Schizosaccharomyces pombe: one gene and its partner. The protein of the gene in region 2 purifies or fractionates together with the protein of the main gene of each other region. This does not show direct contact. Each region holds a gene or a part of one and is shown on either strand. Other genes may lie near its edges.

The links. The genes of interacting proteins can lie anywhere in the genome.
Region 1: the proteins of iss10 (region 2) and red5 purify together in Schizosaccharomyces pombe (affinity purification with mass spectrometry; 2 studies listed by BioGRID). This does not show direct contact.

Annotation. Positions count from the first base shown.
Region 1 is NC_003423.3:1,049,596-1,054,115, forward strand, and holds red5 (zinc finger CCCH domain-containing protein), read left to right. Parts: upstream 1-2,007; 5' UTR 2,008-2,484; coding exon 2,485-2,527; exon of another isoform or gene 2,528-2,601; intron 2,602-2,737; exon of another isoform or gene 2,738-2,743; coding exon 2,744-2,773; exon of another isoform or gene 2,774-2,818; coding exon 2,819-3,876; 3' UTR 3,877-4,020; downstream 4,021-4,520. Other genes in the region: SPOM_SPBC337.11 (peptidase), read left to right, coding at 720-1,697; Gtr1/RagA G protein Gtr1, read right to left, coding at 4,183-4,520.
Region 2 is NC_003424.3:2,609,011-2,613,503, reverse strand, and holds iss10 (protein Iss10), read right to left. Parts: upstream 2,479-4,493; 5' UTR 2,405-2,478; coding exon 749-2,404; 3' UTR 502-748; downstream 1-501. Other genes in the region: SPOM_SPAC7D4.13C (uncharacterized protein), read right to left, coding at 1-121, 194-208; phosphatidylinositol-3,5-bisphosphate binding protein Atg1802, read left to right, coding at 2,800-2,843, 2,902-2,975, 3,050-3,156, 3,213-3,982, 4,023-4,035; serine/threonine protein phosphatase PP2A catalytic subunit Ppa1, read right to left, coding at 4,472-4,493.

The DNA.
Region 1 (4,520 bases), on a different chromosome or scaffold from region 2:
GTTGTAACGTATGTACAGACAATTAGAAAAAAGTCAAAAACTGTCTTCCTTTTACCGGTCTGAAAGTGGTAAAATTTTTCTTTTAATCAACGGATAAACAAAAAAGTTATCTGTAGATATAATATGAAAATTTCCACGCCTTAACGTTATGAAATGATCAATTATAGAGAAATAATACTCAAACAATAAAAAAAAGGAATGATTAGTATTTTGTTCTTGTTAAATTCTATTTACCACAAGTGGCGACGCTGTAAATTTAACCTGTTGATTGGTAATCCGTCAGCATGTCTTAAAATGAATAGAATCCAATCATGTGGCACTGTAAGGCATATAGCTAAAACAATATTGTGGTTTTCTTATATATCGTTATTTATGCTTATGAAGTACTGCGCATTTCGGTAAGTCATTGATTTCTACTTTGTTCATACTGATCGAACAAGTCAACGGAATCACCGGCTAATCGACTGAAATGTCGGGTCAAGTGAAAACTTGTGTTGTACTTTTGGCTGCACGCAACTATTTCCAGCTTTGAGAACCATTTTTTTGGTAATTTACATTTAATAGTCAAATATTTTTAGCCCTGTGTTTTTTCGAGAAATTTGATATTCGTATTTTGCCGTGGGTGTCATATACAAATTACATATCGACTGTATAAGATAATAATGATAACTTTATGTAAGACTAGAGGGTTTTTTACTTCAAAAAGAAGGATTTATTAAATGCAATACTATCAAATGATGAAGGCGTTACGAATGTTAAAAAAACCGAAGCCAGGTTGTTTGGGTATTGAAATTCAGAGTGTTCCTATTCCCCAACCAAAGAATGGAGAGTTGCTTGTAAAAATTGAAGCTGCTGCCATCAACCCCAGTGATCTAATGAACGCAACAGGGGGTTTCCCGTATACTGTTTATCCTCGAATCGTTGGGCGAGATTATGCTGGTACTGTAATTAGTGGCGCATCTCATTTAGTAGGAACTCGAGTGTTTGGAACGAGCGGTAGCGAACTATCATTCACTAAAGACGGTACTCATGCTGAATACTGCATAATACCGGAAAAAGCAGCTGTTCGTATGCCAAGCAATTTGTCGTTTACTGAGGCAGCATCAGTCGGTGTCCCTTTTACAACCGCTTATTTGGCTTTAAGCAGAGGAGAAACCAAAGGCAGCGATATAGTACTAGTGGTTGGAGCCTTAGGTGCTGTCGGGTCGGCTGTTTGTCAAATAGCAGAGGATTGGGGATGTAAGGTAATCACAGTGTCTAGGAGCGGCTCAACCGATATCAATACAGTGGTGGATCCGGAATTAAAAAGGGTCCACGAATTGGTTGAGAAAGTTGATGTGGTAATCGATACGGTGGGCGATCCTTTGTTGATGAAATCGGCTCTCAATCAATTGGGAATAGGGGGAAGGTTGTCTTATATTTCCGCACCTAAGCAAGGGAGTATAGAATTTTCGTATGACATGAAACAAATATATCGCAAAAATCTGAAGATTATTGGGTGCAATTCTCTCTTACTTTCGTTAGTGGAATCAAACTCACTATTAAAGAATATGGTCGCCAAGTTTGAAGCAGGGAAATATAAGGTATTAAACAAGAAAATTGCTGAAACATCTCTTACTGATGAATGTATAAATTCATATAGAAAACTTATGAATGAATGTTCTACAAAGTTTGTGATTACTATGAGCACAAATTAAGCGTCCGAAATACAGACTTACCAAATTGTTTTTTCTGTATAATCAGTAAATTTTAAAAGAACTATAAATATTTGCTTTGATCTTTCATATCGTTTATTATTATTATTATTATAAAGAGGTATCTATTCGTTAATGAAAAAAACAATTTTGAGCTACGCTTTAAAGAAGGATTATTTAAATTAAGTAAAAAGGATTTCATTATAATTAAAGCAATATTGTTTTAATACTGATAATTTAAGATAGTTTTTTTTAAAATATCGTTATAAAGCGTCGGTAATTACATTGATGCTACTCCGACATTGTTGGTGCCACCGACTACGCTACTCTAATCTGTCGACTTAGAAATACCTTACCACATCTAATTACTGTAAGAATTTATTTCAAGGACTTTTTCATAGTTTTTTTGTTTTTGTAACGACGTTTTCAAAAAGGTCATTGTCAAACATATAAGCTCTTGCCTGTCGTTAAAAAAAGTAAAGACCTTGGTTAATCGTTGTCGTTCAATTATTTGGGCATTTAACTTAAACAGTTTTGTTTAAGGAAAGGTTCTCAAAGACTTTTTTTTAAAAGATTCACTTATAGAACGAAAGACCATTAAAGTGGAAAACCACTCATTTTAAAACATTGAGCAAACAAGAGCTTTTGCATAATATATCAAGTGGTGGTTTAAAACAGGAAATACTTGGACGATTCAAGTTCAATAAAAGACATTAAAGCTGTTGGTTTATTTTACAAAAAAAAACATCCGTTCGTTATATTTATTTATTAGTTCTAGGCGGCATTCACAATGAACGAGCAACAATTGCTGGAAAATATTGCTTCATTAGCTGGTACGTTTTGATTAAATTGTATTAACGTCTTTTGATTGTCTGTTATACAGAATAAATTTGGTCGACTTTGAAGTTGGATTGGTTTAACTAATGAGCTTTTTGGTTTTTGAAACCAATGAATAATTAGGATTTTCAAGGAGACAGATTTTATGCAAAAAAATATCTTTATGTTTCTTTATTTATGAAACGCTCAGTAATAATATAACTAACCTTTAGGTGCTATCAATCAATATAAAAATGAAAAAGGTAAGATGCCCATTTATGAGGAACTTTGACTCATGATTTTAGCAGAACCTACCCAGGTTTTAGATGCCGCTAAAGCAAATAAGAATACTCGTTCGTATCCCTATTCTGTTTCTAGGAACTATTCTTTTATCCTCAATAAATCCAATCGCTCGAAATCGACAGCTGCTAGCCCTCCATATGTGATACCGTCAACATCATCGAATGCAGACGATGCCAATAAGGAACCTGAAAAACAATCCACATCTGACTATGTATCACGGAAAAACAGACATATGCAACTGATTAAAAAAAATATTCTTGAACATGATTTGCAAGCGAGAAAAGCTAATTTGGAGAGCTACAGAGCCAAGCTTGAGAAAGAATACAAAACTTTAGCCGAAAATAAAATCCAGCAAAGATTATCCGATGGTACTAAACAATTAGTAACTATTGACGGACTGCAGTATATTACCGGTGTATCTGATACCAAGTGGTTGGAATTTGTTAGTGCTAAGGGACAATGTCCAAAATATTTATATTGGAATAATAAGTCTTATCTTCTTAAAAAGAAGAGGTTTCTCAAGGAGGTTGGAAATTCACCTTCAGCTGTTTATTGCCGTTATTATAATGCTAATGGAATTTGTGGGAAGGGAGCAGCATGCAGATTCGTGCATGAGCCCACCCGCAAAACGATATGTCCGAAATTTTTGAATGGTCGATGTAATAAAGCAGAAGATTGTAATTTGTCACATGAATTAGATCCCAGACGAATTCCTGCATGCCGGTATTTTCTATTAGGAAAATGCAATAACCCAAATTGTCGATATGTGCACATTCATTACTCTGAAAATGCCCCTATATGTTTTGAATTTGCCAAGTACGGTTTCTGTGAGTTAGGGACGTCTTGCAAAAATCAACATATTCTTCAGTGTACCGATTATGCTATGTTTGGTTCGTGTAATAATCCACAATGCTCTCTCTATCATGGTGCTGTTTCCGCTGATGTACCAGAACAAACAGAAGCTCCAATATCGAAGACTGCTGGTTCTATAAATCCAGAAGACTCTGGATCGGAAATTGGAAGTAATTCCTTAGAAAGCAACTTGGATTTTATATCCGTTTAGATAATTCGTTTAGCAGTTTGATCTTGTAGAATTAAATTATCGTGTAGTTACGCAATGTCTAAACTTTTGATGATAATGAGTTATAATTTTCTATTAATTGAATACAATAAATTTTTAAAAAATATCATAAGATTTAGAAAGAAAATAGAAAAAGATTTCAACTAGTTGATAAAGAATATTATTTTTTAAAGACTAAAACTAAGAGGCTAGGTAATTACAGCAACAAGAGTAAAATACATTAGATCCACATTTTTTACGATTATCAAAGAAAAAAGAACAAGATTGATGGATCTATCAAACGGAAAATTAAGGTTGCAGTTGAATACCGTCCGAAGCGCTCTTTGAAGCTTCTATAAATCGTCGAGCACTTTGAATGTTCATAAGGGTTACTGCTGATTCGATTTCTGGATCAGCAATGACCACCAATATGTATGTGTCCTCAGTATATGGAACAATGAATGCAGAGAAATTACCACCACGAAGCTCAAAAGTAGTAAATTGAGCTTGCATTTTGCTACAACTGAGTTTAAATTGCTTAACAATATTGCTAATTTTTTCGAACCTGTGAGCATCAGTGGCAGGATTGGACTCAGAAGAATAAGAAGAAATAACCAAAAATGTTGTTCTTTCAAATAATATTACCT
Region 2 (4,493 bases):
CTTTAAAAATGCTATGTGCATTTTCGGGATATTTAGTAATACATTTAACGCCCTTTAAAAATTCATTTTTCAGTTTCGTCTTTAAAAGTTGTATTGCTGAGTTTTTGATGTTATGAGTACCCTAGGTTTTAGTAGTTAGAGAAAGAAAGAGAAAAATAATGATATGTAATATTCATTCAAAAAGCTAACCTACAATAAATAGACTCATACGTCTAAATGAGTTGTTTCGACCGTCCGAATTTTGCTTTTATTAAGTCCAGTAGAATAATCGCTGTAGACGTAAGTAAAAGGTCTCTTATGTTACAGTCAATTAGGGTTTATGTGTCTTTTACATGCTAATGTTAACTAAAGAAACTTTTTCAAAATTTCTTCAATAATCTTGCATTTGGGAGCTTTAAAATTTGATTATCGAATAAGAAAGTAATATAACTATTCACATAATCCATAGTCTCTTTGTTTATTCACATCCATTAGAATAGGCTTACAAAGTACTTATACTATTTATGAAACGCCTCTTATTAATCATCTAAAAAAGTATTTATGTATAAATGAATTTGAAAATGTTAACTGAAAGTGCGAAACCAATTTATGCAACATGAATATTCTATCTACTATAATAAATGTACATCAAACATTACCAGTACTAAAGGTACTTAATTTTCTTTATAAGTTAAAACAAAAACATGCAAATTCAAATATTCCGCCAAGCAATTTTTAAATTGTTGCGCGCACTTACGGAAGAGTATAGCTAATAATCATAAAAGCTATGATGACGACGCCTCTCAATTTCCTCTGCTAATTCATAGTCGTTATAATAAGGCGCAGAAGGCTCATAAGTAGTATGCGTTAAAGGCATATGCTGCCGAGAAATACGAGAATCAGACATGTGAGGCGGACTTTCATAAACTCCATAAACTGAGGAAGTGGGGTAGTATGGAGAAATCTGTCTATGCCGTTTATGGTAATACGGAGAAAACGATGAATTGTTAGATTCGTATGAATAGTGCGTTTCAATAGGAGGCGGACGATTCAAATGGAGCAGGGAGCGATTTTCTAAAATTGGCTCCCAATTATATCTTGATTGATTTGAAAACTGAGAAGGGCTCTCATGAAGACGATGAATGCCATTATAAGGAGGAAGCGATTTACGGGAAAGAAAAGTGCCGTCATAGTCTACAGAATTCCTTATCCCCGGAGGTAGAATATAAGTATTTTGATGAGGGAAAGGATGAGAAGTTTGATCTAAAGAAACCGGTTTATCTAAAAGGACAGCAGAAGGACGAGGGTGAGGCATTATATCCTTATAATCCCGAGTTGACATGACATTGTTCTCCAAGGACAACTCAGGTATTCGATTGACTTGTAGCGATTGCAATTCCTTTGGATAGGGGATCCAAGATGGAGAATACGGATGCAAATCCGAAATTGGTGATTGATTTCCCAGAATGACAGACGGCTCTTCGTTTTTTACGGAGACAATTGAGTTTTTTTCATCTGATAAAGGAACCGAAGGAAACCTAGTAGAGCTAGGTCTTGTTGACTGGGGAGGTGAAGGAAGGCGAGGAGAAGTAAAAGCTTTGTTAATAAGTAGGTTATTGCCCTGCTCACTCGATTCCAAATGTTTAAGACACGGGACTGCAACGTTAGTTGCCCTCGGAGGAGAAGGAGCTGACACAAGCGATACGGGAAGCGCAGATGATGGTGGAGACGGCATATACAGGTTTGATAACTCCACTGATCCAGTATCATTTTTCAACGGACTACGGCGAAAAGTGTTCGGTTGATATGTCTCTTTATTCACATTTTTTTTATTTTCCTTAGGCGTTGATGAAGAATTGCTAGGAAGAACTGAAGAAGGATTAAAAGCTTGATTCCCATACAAAGATAAAGTACTCTTTGCTAACAATTTATTAGATTTTTCCGGTTTTGAGGACTCCTCTTGAGTCCCAGTAGAAGATTGTTTGCTAGTGTTTACAACGGGAGTAATATCCTCTTTCATCAAACCAGTGGCTTCAGGTTTTGTTTGACTATTAAGTAAGGAATTAAAATCACGGTTAATGTCTAGCCGTGGTAAATTAGTAGATGATTTAGAAAAACAGTTTTCGGACATAGATTCTCTGTTACTAAAACCTCCATTCTTAAATTCAGAAGGAGTATTTTCATCTCTGGTTTGTGCTTTGGGTGATGATTTCAGGAGTTTGTTATTACCTTCATCATTTGCAATTTCGACTTTCCGTTTAACAGAATCAAAATTTTTTAAAGATTTATGTAATCTATCTCTTAAAAATTTTAAACGAACATTGTTCGGAACCAAAAATTGTTGATGTTTCCCTTCAAACACAGTATCTCTAAAAGAAATTATTTTTTTGTATTCCTTCTCCACAGAAGGTTCAACGGCATCCATTAATATTTAAATTTAACCAAAACAATAAAAATTCATGAATTCCCAAAAAAAGTTTTATTCAACATTTGGATGTTGCCAAGATATACGCTCTTGAATGTGCGTAGAGGTGACCATTAAGGAGCGCTGCACCACTGTATATATTATCTTGCATAATACAAACATAACAAAAACATTCATTAATCAAAATTGCTAAAGGCTCAAATGGGTTCTTTTATATTCTGGATACTACAAAGTTAAGCTTTTGCATTGTACGAATCACATTATTTTTTGCTTCAATTACGCACACTGCCTTAGCACAAATCTGTTTTACTTTTACCATTGAACGTGATCAGCAATTGTATTAAGACAGGGGTGAATGTGAACTACTAAATAAATTAACAGTCGATTTAAGAGAAATGCCATCGATTATCCTTTACTGTTCGTGGAATCAAGATCGTGGGTAAGTGGCACACATAAAATAGATTTTGTGCAATCTTTGTACTGACTGCTAAATTTAGCTTTTTATCAATTGGTTCTGAGAATGGCTATCAAGTTTATCGCTCCAATCCGTTTACCCTGTGCTTTTCAAAAAGTAAGCTGTCAATGAATTTCCGAGAAGTGGAAACACAAGCCCATCTTACACGACTTATAACTTACTGATTGTAGAAGCCAATGGGGCAAGTATTTGTGAAATGCTTTATGAATCTTCTCTACTTGCTTTCGTGAATATTTCCCCTGAGTCGACGAGGTTACTAAAATTGGTTGACATCAAGGTAATTAGTTAACTGAGATTCTGCATTGATTTCTTAATTTTAACCCATATTTTTAGAGAGATATCGTTTTATGCCGAATATTTTATCCGAGTCCTGTGCTAAGTGTACGTTTCACATGGAATCGTTTAGTTGTTTTAATTAAAGGGAGTATTTACGTATATAATCTAAAAAACATGGAATTAATTAATACTCTAAATACCTCGAAAGGAAATGTTATAGCTTTTGCTGTTCATGAGAATTATGTTGCATATAATTCACCGACCAACCCTGGTGATATTTATTTAGCCTCATTGGATACTGCAATACCCGTCACATTGATTCATTGCCATTCTTCCGCTGTCCAAGTAGTTGACTTTCATCCGCGTGGACATTTGATTGCGACTGCATCCGCAAAGGGAACTGTAATCCGTGTTATAACAACTAGTGATGGTGAATTGGTGACAGAATTGCGCAGGGGATATATACCTGCATCCATTGTATCTATCTCATTTCACCCAGTTGAGCCTTTTCTGGCTTGTGCTTCTGAAAATGGTACTATTCACGTTTTCAAAATCTCTAAGCAACCATCGGATCCGAATTCGTCTCCTACATCTTCCGTAACTGTGTCATCTTCTTGGTCAAAATATTTAACTTCAAATGTAGCAAAAGTTTGGGACACTAGGAAAGAATTTGCAACTGCTAAGATTCCTGAAGCTTCTTTCTATGGAAAAATAATTTTTTCGAGCAGCGGTCCGCACATACAAGTAGCTTCTTATTCAGGACACTATTATCGGTTCGCAGTAAATCTTAAAAATGGAGGAAATTGTGCTTTACTTGAGCGTTACATGTAAGCTGTTTGTTAAATTTTCGATTATTAACATATCTAGCTTTGACGATTAACTTTTTGCGCACAAGTTTTAAATTTACTCATACATCAGCTTCACAATGTTTTAGCTTTCATGGTCTTATGTTTTTTTTTTATTTACTGAACATGCTATCATTTATGTTTAGACCTTTGTAGATAATTTATTAAAATGTTAATGTCGATAAGTTGGTGTTTCACTAATATATTATACACCGGTACAGATGTGAAAAATTATCATTACGGTAGACACCTTACAAGTGCATCATATATCCTATATAAATTTTATATGCATTCCATAAATTCAATATTTGTACCGAAACAGGAGAATTAAAAATTCGAAGATAACAACATTCTATTAGAAACCCATAAAATTAAAGTAAATTTTTAGCGGCACGTTGACAACGCTAAAATCCAACCATGAAAAATTCCAGCTATTAACAAGTCCAAGAAGAAAGTAAAACATACGATGACTTATAAGAAGTAATCGGGTGTT